Rattus norvegicus: one gene and its partners. The protein of the gene in region 1 interacts with the protein of each later gene in a pairwise test. Links are inferred from orthologs where the notes say so. Each region holds a gene or a part of one and is shown in the gene's direction. Other genes may lie near its edges.

The links.
Region 2: the proteins of Bag6 (region 1) and Serpini2 interact in a two-hybrid assay, tested with the Homo sapiens proteins (2 studies listed by BioGRID and IntAct). The two-hybrid records come from large-scale screens. The link is inferred for Rattus norvegicus from reciprocal best matches to the Homo sapiens genes BAG6 and SERPINI2.
Region 3: the proteins of Bag6 (region 1) and Efemp1 interact in binary tests that used the Homo sapiens proteins (3 or more experiments, as listed by UniProt). The two-hybrid records come from large-scale screens. The link is inferred for Rattus norvegicus from reciprocal best matches to the Homo sapiens genes BAG6 and EFEMP1.

The regions. Positions count from the first base shown.
Region 1 is NC_086038.1:3,690,516-3,694,616, reverse strand, and holds the start of Bag6 (large proline-rich protein BAG6), read left to right. Parts: upstream 1-1,287; 5' UTR 1,288-1,536; intron 1,537-1,542; exon of another isoform or gene 1,543-1,593; coding exon of another isoform or gene 1,594-1,691; intron 1,692-1,779; exon of another isoform or gene 1,780-2,069; intron 2,070-2,188; coding exon of another isoform or gene 2,189-2,201; coding exon 2,202-2,309; intron 2,310-4,101. UniProt on the Homo sapiens protein: ATP-independent molecular chaperone preventing the aggregation of misfolded and hydrophobic patches-containing proteins.
Region 2 is NC_086020.1:162,332,864-162,336,379, reverse strand, and holds part of Serpini2 (serpin I2 precursor), read left to right. Parts: intron 1-507; coding exon 508-738; intron 739-2,032; coding exon 2,033-2,227; intron 2,228-2,305; coding exon 2,306-2,498; intron 2,499-3,516.
Region 3 is NC_086032.1:106,888,159-106,891,473, forward strand, and holds the end of Efemp1 (EGF-containing fibulin-like extracellular matrix protein 1 precursor), read left to right. Parts: intron 1-2,216; coding exon 2,217-2,378; 3' UTR 2,379-2,803; downstream 2,804-3,315. UniProt on the Homo sapiens protein: Binds EGFR, the EGF receptor, inducing EGFR autophosphorylation and the activation of downstream signaling pathways. May play a role in cell adhesion and migration. May function as a negative regulator of chondrocyte differentiation.

The DNA.
Region 1 (4,101 bases):
GTACACTGTAGCTATCTTCAGACACACCAGAAGAGGGCATCAGATCCTATTACAGATGGTTGTGAGCCACCATATGGTTGCTGGGATTTGAACTCAGGACCTCTGGGAGAGCACTCAGTGCTCTTAACCGCTGAGCCATCTCTCCAGCCCCTGAAATCTTTATAATAAAATACTAAATGTGTGTCTAGGGAAGTGTTCCAGCAGTGATGGTGCTTGGCGGATGGCAAGCCAAGCTAGAGGACCTGACTTTGATCCCCAGGTCCCCGCAGTGAAAGAGCACATTTTCCCTCAGATCTCCACACCTGCGCTGTGCTGTGACAGACGAAGGCCATACAGCCACCCCCCAGAAAAGCATTTTAAAAAATATTTAAGTTCTTTTATCCCAGCAGGTGGATCTCTGTGAGTTACAGGACATCCAGATCTACATAGTGAAATCCTGTCTCGGAGGAAAAAAAAACCTCAAAACGTAAATACAGTCTAGTAGAGTGACACACGACCCTGCCCTGGGTGGTGGTGTGGGGTACATTGTCTTTATGGGTTCCGGGCAATTCAGAGTTAACACTGAAACAGCATATAAAAGTCTCAATATACAATGCTTACTGGAACTCTCATCAGTATTGGCATCTAAGAATAAGTGGGGAAGAATGTAGAGAAACAACCGTCCCACCCTGTTCAACTAACTCCCTCGGTGGCTGGCCTTCCAATCTCCTTTCTCAAAAGTCTTGTCCTTGTCTTTCAATCCGATCCCTAAGGCACCCGTTTTTTTTTCTTTCGTTTCTTTAAAAAAGCTCCTAAAAAGCAGTATGCTTAGTTATCCTTAAATATGGCACTCCCATAGTGCTCTCAATCAAAGACCAATAGGACGGCCAAAGTCTGCAAAACGTCCAACTACCCTAATCCCGCCAGGAACTAAACTTGAGCACAAGCAAATACAGCCCGCGGAACGCCCAAGCCGTCCACGGAAAAGAGTGGCTTCCGGAAGAGCAGGAATGACGGGAGGACCAGAGGTCTTGCAGAGGTTTGGGTAGTTAGAATTGTGCCTGTAAATTTCTATGTCCGTCAAGATAGGAACGTTGATTAACGAGGTGCAATACGCAGAAATCCCAGACTCTTTTCCCCAGGAAGGTGCAGCATTCCACCCAGTAATTTTTCTTCAGGCGTTTACAGTAGACACCCCGGTCGGGTAGCACAACGGCGCGAGCAGGGAAGAAACGCACACAGCCGGAGGGGGGGGGCGGGGAAATACTTAAAGTGTGCGCACGCGTACGCGGTTCACGCAGGCGCAGTGCGGTCCCCCGGGCGACGGCGGCGGCGGCGGCTCCTCCGGGTGGTCGGCTCCCTCCCATCTAGGCCGGCCCCGGCCCGTCTCGCCCCCCAGAAACTCACTGCTCGGGGCTGTGGACTTTCTCATCGTGCCCCACGAAAGTAAATCGGGGGAGACTGGGGGAGCCGGAAGTACCGCCTCGAGATCCCCAAATACTATCGGGGAAACGGAAGTGGCCCTTGGTGCCAGGTTGGGGGAGACCGGAAGTGACGGTACCGTGGGGAAGTCGGGGGCGGAGCCACAGGGTGGTGGGCTGTGTATGTGTTTGTATGTGTTTGGCCGCGTGTTGGTTAAGTCGTGTTGCTGGAATACCGACGAAAGACGGAGGCGGAAGGAGGGGGCGGTCAGCGAGCCCATCCAGCCTCCCGTGAGTGTCGGTGGTCTTGGGTCTGTGGTGATTTAGGCGGGTTCGATTGTGGTGGCGCGCGTGCGCGAAGCTACTTTCTCTGCCGAGTCTAGCGCGACCCTCCCCCCCCCCCTCGCGTTGTCCTAGGATTTCCCGATCTCTCGGGCGCTTGCTCGGTCGCGACCGGTGATGACACTGGTCTCTGATCGGTCTCGTGCTTGCTTCCCCGATTCCTAGCCCAACTGGCTCTCCCTATTGTGATTGGCATTGTAGAGCCCCTCCCACCTCTCGTCCTTCATCTCCCTATGCCGTCGATCTCATACCCTTTGTGTTTCTATTCCTGTGCCCCCGAATCAAAAAGGGGGGATGAGGAGGAGGAGGATGAATATATGTGCTTGTGTATGTGAAACTTTCAAGGGATTGGGGCGGAGATTGGGTCCAGAGAGGCTTCCGGGTGTATAAAATACAGCGCGACCGACAGCGAACCATCCCCCCCCCCCTTCCTCGTTCTTCCTTAGAGAGCTGTCGGCCATGGAGCCGAGTGATAGTACCAGTACCGCTATGGAGGAGCCTGACAGCCTGGAGGTACTGGTGAAGACCCTGGACTCTCAGACTCGGACTTTTATTGTGGGGGCCCAGGTGAGACACCAGTACTTTGTAGAGATGACACCCCTTTTGCTCGTTTGTTTTGTGAAGGATGAGCCTGATTTTCTTGTCATTGACCCTTTTGTCCCTTACTCTGTAGGACATCTGACGTTCCTATTGAGCTGGGAGGTGTGGTTACCGTTGAGTGAGGCAGATTTTGTTTAGCCTGTCCTCACCTTGACAGAACTCAGAAGTGGGAGGTACAGAGGAGAACTCTATACCTATTCTGTGCAGACCTCCAGCCCAAAGGGACAGGCATGGCTCTGGCCTTTGGGACCAGACACAACACAGGGGGACCTCAGACCAGTATGGTGTGTCTGTTCTTTTTTATAGGTTACAGAAACCTGCTTCCATACACGGTGAAGTAGAATCGCCAATAGTTGAGGCATAATTTGAGTCTTGAGCTAAGTTCAGTGTGGCCACGTTTATCTTTTGTTTTTCCTGCATAATTCTTTGAGACACCATCATGCGCAGGTCATTTTCGTGGTTTTCTAAAGCAGATATTTAAAAAGCCACGTAGATTTTGTGAGTAGATATGTGTGATAGTTAATTCTGCCTGTTACCAAGGGTTGATGTGTCTTTCTGGGAGGTGGGGACACATAGCGGGGCTGCCTTTGCCTCTGACCATTTCGCCTTTACTGTCTATGTGCTTGGATTATACACACTGTGATAGAGGATTATGGGATTGTAGATTACCACATCTGCCTTGGCTTCGTCTTTTTTTTTTTTTTTTTTTTTTTTTTTTTTTGTAAAGTAGGGTCTTACATAGTTAAATGTCTTAGAACATTTATTTGTGTGTGGGTGTGTGGGTGTGTGGTTCTACTGGGCCTTGAACCTTGGGCTTAGCATAGAGTACTTACTACTGAATTGTATAGAACCATGTGTTCTTTTCTGACCTTCTTCATTAGTTACCTTTCCAGAACCTGGTTCCAAACCCCTGTATTACTTACCATTGGTGGTGATGGTTCTTTTGGGATGTGTGTATTTTCAATTCCTTTAAAAAATCTTATTTGTTTTTATTTTATATGTGAATGGAAATATTTGTATTGGTATTTGCAATACAGATTATAATAATTTGTATTGCAATATGTTTGTCTGGAAATATATATGTGTGCCTTGTGTGCACTTGATGCCTAAGAAAGTCAGAAGAACATATCAAATCCTGCAACCTGTGGCCTTCTCCTCATGTGGAAGTTAGGAAATTGTAGTCCCTATTGTGTTATGGATGACTGTAAACTACTTATGTGGGTGCTAGGAATTGAGCTCTGGTCCTGTTCAAGAGAAGAGCAACCCTGAGCTATGTCTCTAGCCCATCATTTTGTGTTTTAAGTCAGGGTTTTATTCTGTAGTCATGGCTAGCCTCACAGTCAGATCCATCTGCCTCTGCTTCCTTGAGATTAGAGGCTTTCTGCTACAGTGCCTATCTGCATTTAGCCTTGAGATTACAGCCATGAACTCCTGCTATTGTTTTAATTTAGAAAAGGACCACGACTATCTCTAGATAGTGAGCCACAGAGGAGAAAGGGAGAGAGAGCTATTTGGCTTCTTGTTTATAAGATTTAGTTTTATTTATTTACTGTTGTTGCTATTTTTTTTTTTAAATAAATTTAAGACAGTCTCTCTACATCGCCTTGGCTATTGTAGAACTCACTATGTAAACCAGGCTGGCCTCAAACTGACAAGAGACTCACATGCCTCTGCCTCTCAGAGGCCTACACCACCGTGTCCCACTTACTTGTAATTGTGTGTTGGTGTGGGGGATGTGTACCTCTGCCTTTGGGTACAG
Region 2 (3,516 bases), on another chromosome or scaffold:
GAACAAGCAGGCACTTCAGATTTTTATATAAATCTAGAGATGATTATAGGGCTTATCTCGTAAACCTAGAAACCTGAACAGAAGCAGTTCTTTAGTGAAGAGCAATGGTTTCTTGAAGTTGAAGGTAACATTGAAAACTGTTCATCGGTGTCATACCTCCACCAATACTCTTTACTACTTTCCTTGTAAAGAAAAGAATCTTAAATGGAAATTTCATGCAATGAAATGATCGAAATGTCATTAGAAAGTGGGACTTTCCTTCAGTCTGCATAAATTCATAGTTTTGTTTCTGAAAAAAATTAAATTTTGTCCAGTATAAACATTGATTTTCTGCAAAATCCATATTCTATGGGAGGTAAATGTGCAAAATCCTTATAGTGACTTTCCATGGTTAGCTATGTCTCAGCATGAGAAATTGGCGATATAAATCAGAACACGTGTCAAAGCCAAGAAGCTATTGTTTTTGTGTTGCTCGATATGTGAGTATGTGCTATAATTATTTTGTAGGAGAGGAATTCTCTGTGCTGAAGTCACTTTTTTCAGCCATCTCGAAGAAGAAACAGGAATTTACATTTAATCTTGCCAGTGCCCTCTACCTTCAAGAAGGATTCATTGTGAAGGAATCGTATCTCCATAGCAACAAGGAGTTTTTTCAGAGTGCTACAAAACTGGTGGATTTTCTAGATGCAAAGACTTCTGCACAGGCAATAAGCACCTGGGTAGAAAGCAAAACAGATGGTAAAGTTTTCCATTTTCATAAAACTGTTATTTCCTGTTGGATTCATTGCTTTTAATATCTTAAAGTAAAGAGTGGCTGAATGTTTCCCATTGCACTGCGGATCAAAGAAATGGAATCTTCTGTTTCACCTCACTGTCATTTAAATTAACACTAGACTATACAACCCAGGGAAACTCTGAATTGCTTTGAAAAGTATATTGATTGCTGCACTAATTCCCAGACACCTTTCTTTTCTTAACGATATAATTTCAGCAATAATATTTGTTCAAGCATTGATTTTTTTTCAGGTATGGAAAGAGAAAACTTATCTTTGTCCAGCAATATATTAGATATGTCAACTGAAAATGTTGTATTCCCAAGTATATTGTTAATATTTTATCTGATCATGTTAATGTTTAAAAATAATACTAGCAATCTTATCATAAATATAGTAATCTAACCTTTAAACCTAATGTGGCAAAAATTACAAAGTTGTTAAATAAAGGCTAAGGTCAGTTTAAAGTTGAGATCCAAGTTTAAAACATTATAACCTTAGATTTGCTTTAAAATTAGGACAGTATTAAAATATTTTAGTTGTTAGAAACTTTAATAACAATGCATGTAACTTATAAGCATTACTGGACTTTAAAATATTTTTATTATGACTGTGCTGAAGAAATTGTAATTTTATGAGTTGCTACTTAACTATTCATGGGCAGGCTCACAAACAGGTATCCATTGAGACTGTGATGTGGTGGTAAGCAGGAGAATTTATAGAGATGTGAAAATGGAAATAACAGCATTATGGACAAAGAATTGCTTACTGCACAGGAAAATAAGAGGAAAATTAATTTTTTTTTTTGAGGATCAAAATCAGACCATGCAATGGTCACTGGTTACAGCTACAAAAGTAGGAAGTTTGGCTGTTTCACTGACCTACTGAATTTGGTCGTTCTCATGGGCAACCTATCCCTTAATACCGACACATATGCAGAAAGACACATCATAGTTCTCTTCTTGTCTGAACAACAGTTTATGGATATGATCTCACCAGAGAGTTTATTATTAGCTCTGTTCACTTTTTCCTAGAACACTCTCATTTTTGATTTCCTGGTGTTTCTGTTTACGCCTATTTCTTAGTGAAGTACTCAGCAGTATTGCCCTTTGCACTTACAGTTGCCAAAACTAGATGACATAATACACTGGTGAAAGCAGTTCTGTGCAAGTCGTTTTTACTTTAGTCAATTTTAGCAAGTTCCATTGAATCTCTACTTACGTTTTTCCCCCTACTTTGTTCTCCATCCTCTTTAATAGGAAAAATTAAAAATATGTTCTCAGAAGAAGACTTTGGCCCCTTGACTCGTCTGGTCTTGGTAAACGCCATTTATTTTAAGGGGGATTGGAAACAGAAATTCAGAAAAGAAGACACAGAAATGACAGATTTTAGTAAGAAAGATGGCTCAACAGTCAAGATTCCAATGATGAAGGCTCTGTTGAGAGCAAAATATGGTAATATGAGAAACTATATATTTTAAATAATGGGTCTGAAAAATGACAAATAAATTTAATGAATTTCCTTTGTTGTAGGTTATTTTTCCGAGTCATCCATGACATATCAAGTTTTGGAATTGCCTTACAAGGCTGATGAGTTTAGTTTAGTCATCCTTCTTCCCACAGAAGATGTGAACATAGAAGAAGTGGAAAAACAAGTTACTGCTCGTCATGTCCAGAAATGGTTCTCTGAGCTGCATGAAGAGGAAGTGGAAGTCAGCCTCCCTCGGTGGGTGGGTCATGTTCTGTGTTATTGACTTTTCGATTACAACCAGAATCCTCGATCAGTTTTAGATAATTACCACTCCATTGAAGTTATGAGGAATTATAAGCAGAGGATGCAATGGTTATACAGACTAATATGCTTCTGAGAGATAAAAGAAATTTCATTAAATGGGGTACCAAAATAGCACAGCTTATATTCTATCCTGTGTTGGGATTTCTTCATATATTTTCATATACCAGTTTATTAATTGAAAATCTCAGTCATACACTATATTTTGGACATAGTCTCTGATCACTATTTCTCCTCGCTCCTCCCAGATCTAATCTCCACTCTCTAATATCCTTGAATACATTCTCTTCTTATAATTTCCCTTTGCTTTTCCCAGGTCTGATCTCTACTATGAACTAAATTATGAATTCAAAATTCTGAAGTACAGTAGCACAAATTAACCTTTCTTTTTTCAAAAAATATGTTTTATCCATGATCAGGAAAGAACATTATGTAGACTAAGTAAATAGTTTTCTGTTGACTGATGACTTTGTTTCAGCCATCTTTGCCCATTCTCTGAAGAGTCTCTATGTGCAGTCCATGTTCATTGTGAAGTGACTTTGTAGCCCAGGCTAGAATCAAATTTGTGATCCCCTTGCCTCTGTTCTGCAGGCACTTCAGGTTTATAGCACCATGTTAAAAAGCATTATTCAATGCTGTGTTTCTTTTTTGTTTGTTTTGTTTTGTGGTTTTTTTTTTGGTTCTTTTTATAAGAGCTGGGGACCGAACCCAGGGCCTTGCGCTTCCTAGGTAAGCGCTCTACCACTGAGCTAAATCCCCAGCCCCGCTGTGTTTCTTTTATATCCAAATAATAATCCACAGTAATTTGTAAACTGATATGTGAAGATCTGTTTAATTGGAACAATTTAGTCAATTTCATCAGATTTCCAGAACTACCATGGAATAGAAGCAAAGAACAAACTAGTTAATATAAACAGTAGAAAGTCACTCTCTTGTAATTTTTGGATTAAAA
Region 3 (3,315 bases), on another chromosome or scaffold:
TGCTTTGCTGGACACTGCTCTCCACTTACATGTTTTTCACTTAAGCATCTATTTCTTCTCTGCTTTGTTCATTTTCTAGTTTCAAATTATTTATGTTTATATACATATACATATATATATATATATTGAGTATATATATATATATATTGAGTATATGGACACATGGTGTCTAGGTGCCTGCAGAGGCCAGGTGAGGATGTCAGATCTCTTGAAGTTGGAGTTACAGGCAGTTCTGAGTGGGTTCTAGGATCTGAACTCCATTCCTCATGTTAGAGTGTTGATTTAATTATTCTAATAAATGTTGGTGTGAGGTTCCTTCCAGCCTTTGACAATTTATGCTCCTGGATTAAAGATATGCACACAGCCTTATATTTTAATATGCCTTAAACAGGACAATAGCCAGGCTACTGTCTAAACTCCTATCTGTTAGAATCCACTAACAATAACTCCAAGTTACTACTAATTAATTTCTATATTCCAGCTTGGCTGCTCTTAACTCCAATTAGCCAGTGCCTGGGCCACATTCTTTTGACCCTTTTACATTGTGGCTCTCCTTCTCCCTCGTATATGTTCTTCTTCCATGGCAGCTCTCTCCTGTACCCTTCCATTGCAGCTTTTTCCTCTCTCTCTCCTCTTCCTCACCATCCCAAGCCTGGGAAACTTAAACCCTGCCTATGTCTTTTCTCCCCAGCTATTGTCTGCTGGCAACTTTATTTACCAATCATAATTAACTGGGACCAGAGGCTCTCAGTGTCTTTTCTGTAACTCTCTCATGCTATTTCGGGGGCAGGGGGGTTCTAAATTAATATTAGAATACAACCAACATTAGACCAACCTACTACATTATAGCAGCATTGAGCTTAACCACCAGGGCATCTTTCTAGCCCTAGCTTTATTTTTTTTTTTTTTTGATTTCTCTCTTCTGTCCATTCCTTCAATGCCATCCTCTCTCAGGCTCTGTAATCTGTCTGAGTTTAATGTGTATCCCTTGTAATGATAATTAATTTTAATCTATGCTTCTGTCCTTTGTGTTCAGATTCATTTATTCACTTACTGACTCTTCCAAAACATCTCCTTCCACCCTCCAATGCTCACTCCATGTCCAGTTTTGACCATGTTAATTTTCAGAATTTCTCTTGCTCCTTGATGATTCTAAGGCAGAGATTCTCAATCTTCTTAATGCTGCAACTCTTTAATACAGTCGTGGTGACCCCCAACCATAAAATTATTTTCATTACTGCTTCAATACTGTCATTTTCCTAGTATTATGTAAATATCTGTTTTCCAATGATTATAGGTGACCCCCCTGAAAGGGTTGTTCATCCCCAAGTGGTTGCAACCCAAAGGTTGAGGACCTTTGCTCTAAAGTTACAAACACTTTACCTCAGTGTTTCAGGAATATGTATGTATATATGTATTCTTTTGTACTCATACTATGTATATCCAAATAATCTAAAATTTGTCATGTTCTATTTAAATATACTACTTACCTAACTCTTTGTTTGTTTGTTTATTTGTAACAGAGTCTCTCTGTGTAGCCCTGGATGTTCTGGAATTCATCTACCTAGACCAGGCTGTTCTTGAACTCTGCCTGTCTCTGCCTCTGCCTCTGCCTCTGCCTCTGCCTCCTGCCTCCTGCCTCCTGCCTCCTGCCTCCTGCCTCCTGCCTCCTGCCTCCTGCCTCCTGCCTCCTGCCTCCTGCCTCCTGCCTCCTGCCTCCTGCCTCCTGCCTCCTGCCTCCTGCCTCCCTCCTGCCTCTGCTCCTCTAGGACTCAAGTCATGAACCACCATGCCTGACTATTTACCTAACTCCTTACTAGAATGTAAACAAATACTCAATGTTAAGAAAATGACAAATGACTACTTTCTTTACCAGTTTCAAGATTATCAGATTTTAATGTGAACTATTTAGAGAGACTGGAATTTTTCAATCCATGAGTAGAAGAAGGTTAATAACAAAGAAAAATATTTGCGATGTGAACACATGTTAACAAGAAATATGGGAAAATAAGAATTTTAAAATCAAGCCCTTGCTCTGGAGCTAGTGTAGATGGGTGGGCTAGGGTAGAGATGAAAGTTAGAAGCCAGCATGGACTGAGCAGAGCTTCTCTATCCTATTATTTCCCCTGATTATTATGCTAAGAACAACAATAACAAAATAGAAACTCTAGCCCAAGAAAAATCACTGTGCCTACCCTTCTTTTCTTGTTTTTTAGCAAACAAGCCCTGTGAGTGCAATGCTGGTGCTTGTGAAGTCGCTAACAGGACCAAGAGAACACATCGTGGACCTGGAGATGCTGACAGTCAGTAGTATAGGGACCTTCCGCACAAGCTCTGTGTTAAGATTGACAATAATAGTGGGGCCGTTTTCATTTTAAACTTTTATTCACATAAAGCCTACCACAGGCATTTAAATCAGCCAAAGAATATCATTACATTAAAGTTTATTTTATTTATAGCTCTATCTAGTACATCTATATTCAAACAGCTAGACTATGGTAGGAAGTGGGCATTTAATCCATAAGAGTCAACATTTATCTTTATCACTGTGTGTAAATTAGACATTAGTCCAACATTCTTCTTGAAGAGAGCTAAGCATATATTATCTAGTGAAACTTGGATTCTTTCCTACAAAAATGGGACCAAGCAATGATACTGTTCTGTGGTGAATAGAGAAATATACACCTCCACAAACAATCTCATGAGGATTGGCCATCTAAACATCAAGAGCAAGAAGGGTTTTTTTTTAACTTCTTTGTAAGAAAATGGAAAAAAGTCAATAAAGATATATTTCTTTAGAAAATGAGAATCTGCCATGTTTTTGTTGGTCTACATTTTAATGATCAGTTTACAGGTACTTGTTTCTTGTTTAGTAGGAAATTATTATTGTGCAATATGCTAGTTTCCATTCAGCATTTTAAAGCTTGTCAGAATTTCACCCACAATTCCAAAAAAAGTCAACTATCTCCTCAAAAATTATTTTGTTGAGAAATCTATGAGGAAGAGTAGAGAAAATAACTTTTTTCAGAACCATTTTAGAATTCTCCAAAGAAGCAAGTTAAGTACATGTAATAAAATCCCTGAAGAAAGAAATGCACTTACAGTTCAGAGCAAAATGGAGAAGAGGTGATTCCCTGGGGACACTCCCATTTCTAAGCCTCATTTCTAACAAGCCTCTAGTTTCTCAGCAAGAATCTAACCCTTGTACTTGCACTCAGAGAGGGAGAAAAACGTGTCTCTTTACTCTTAGAATTCACATTATTCTTCCTGTTCAATTCTATGAAAAAATTTCATGTCTTCCTTGTTTAAAATAAC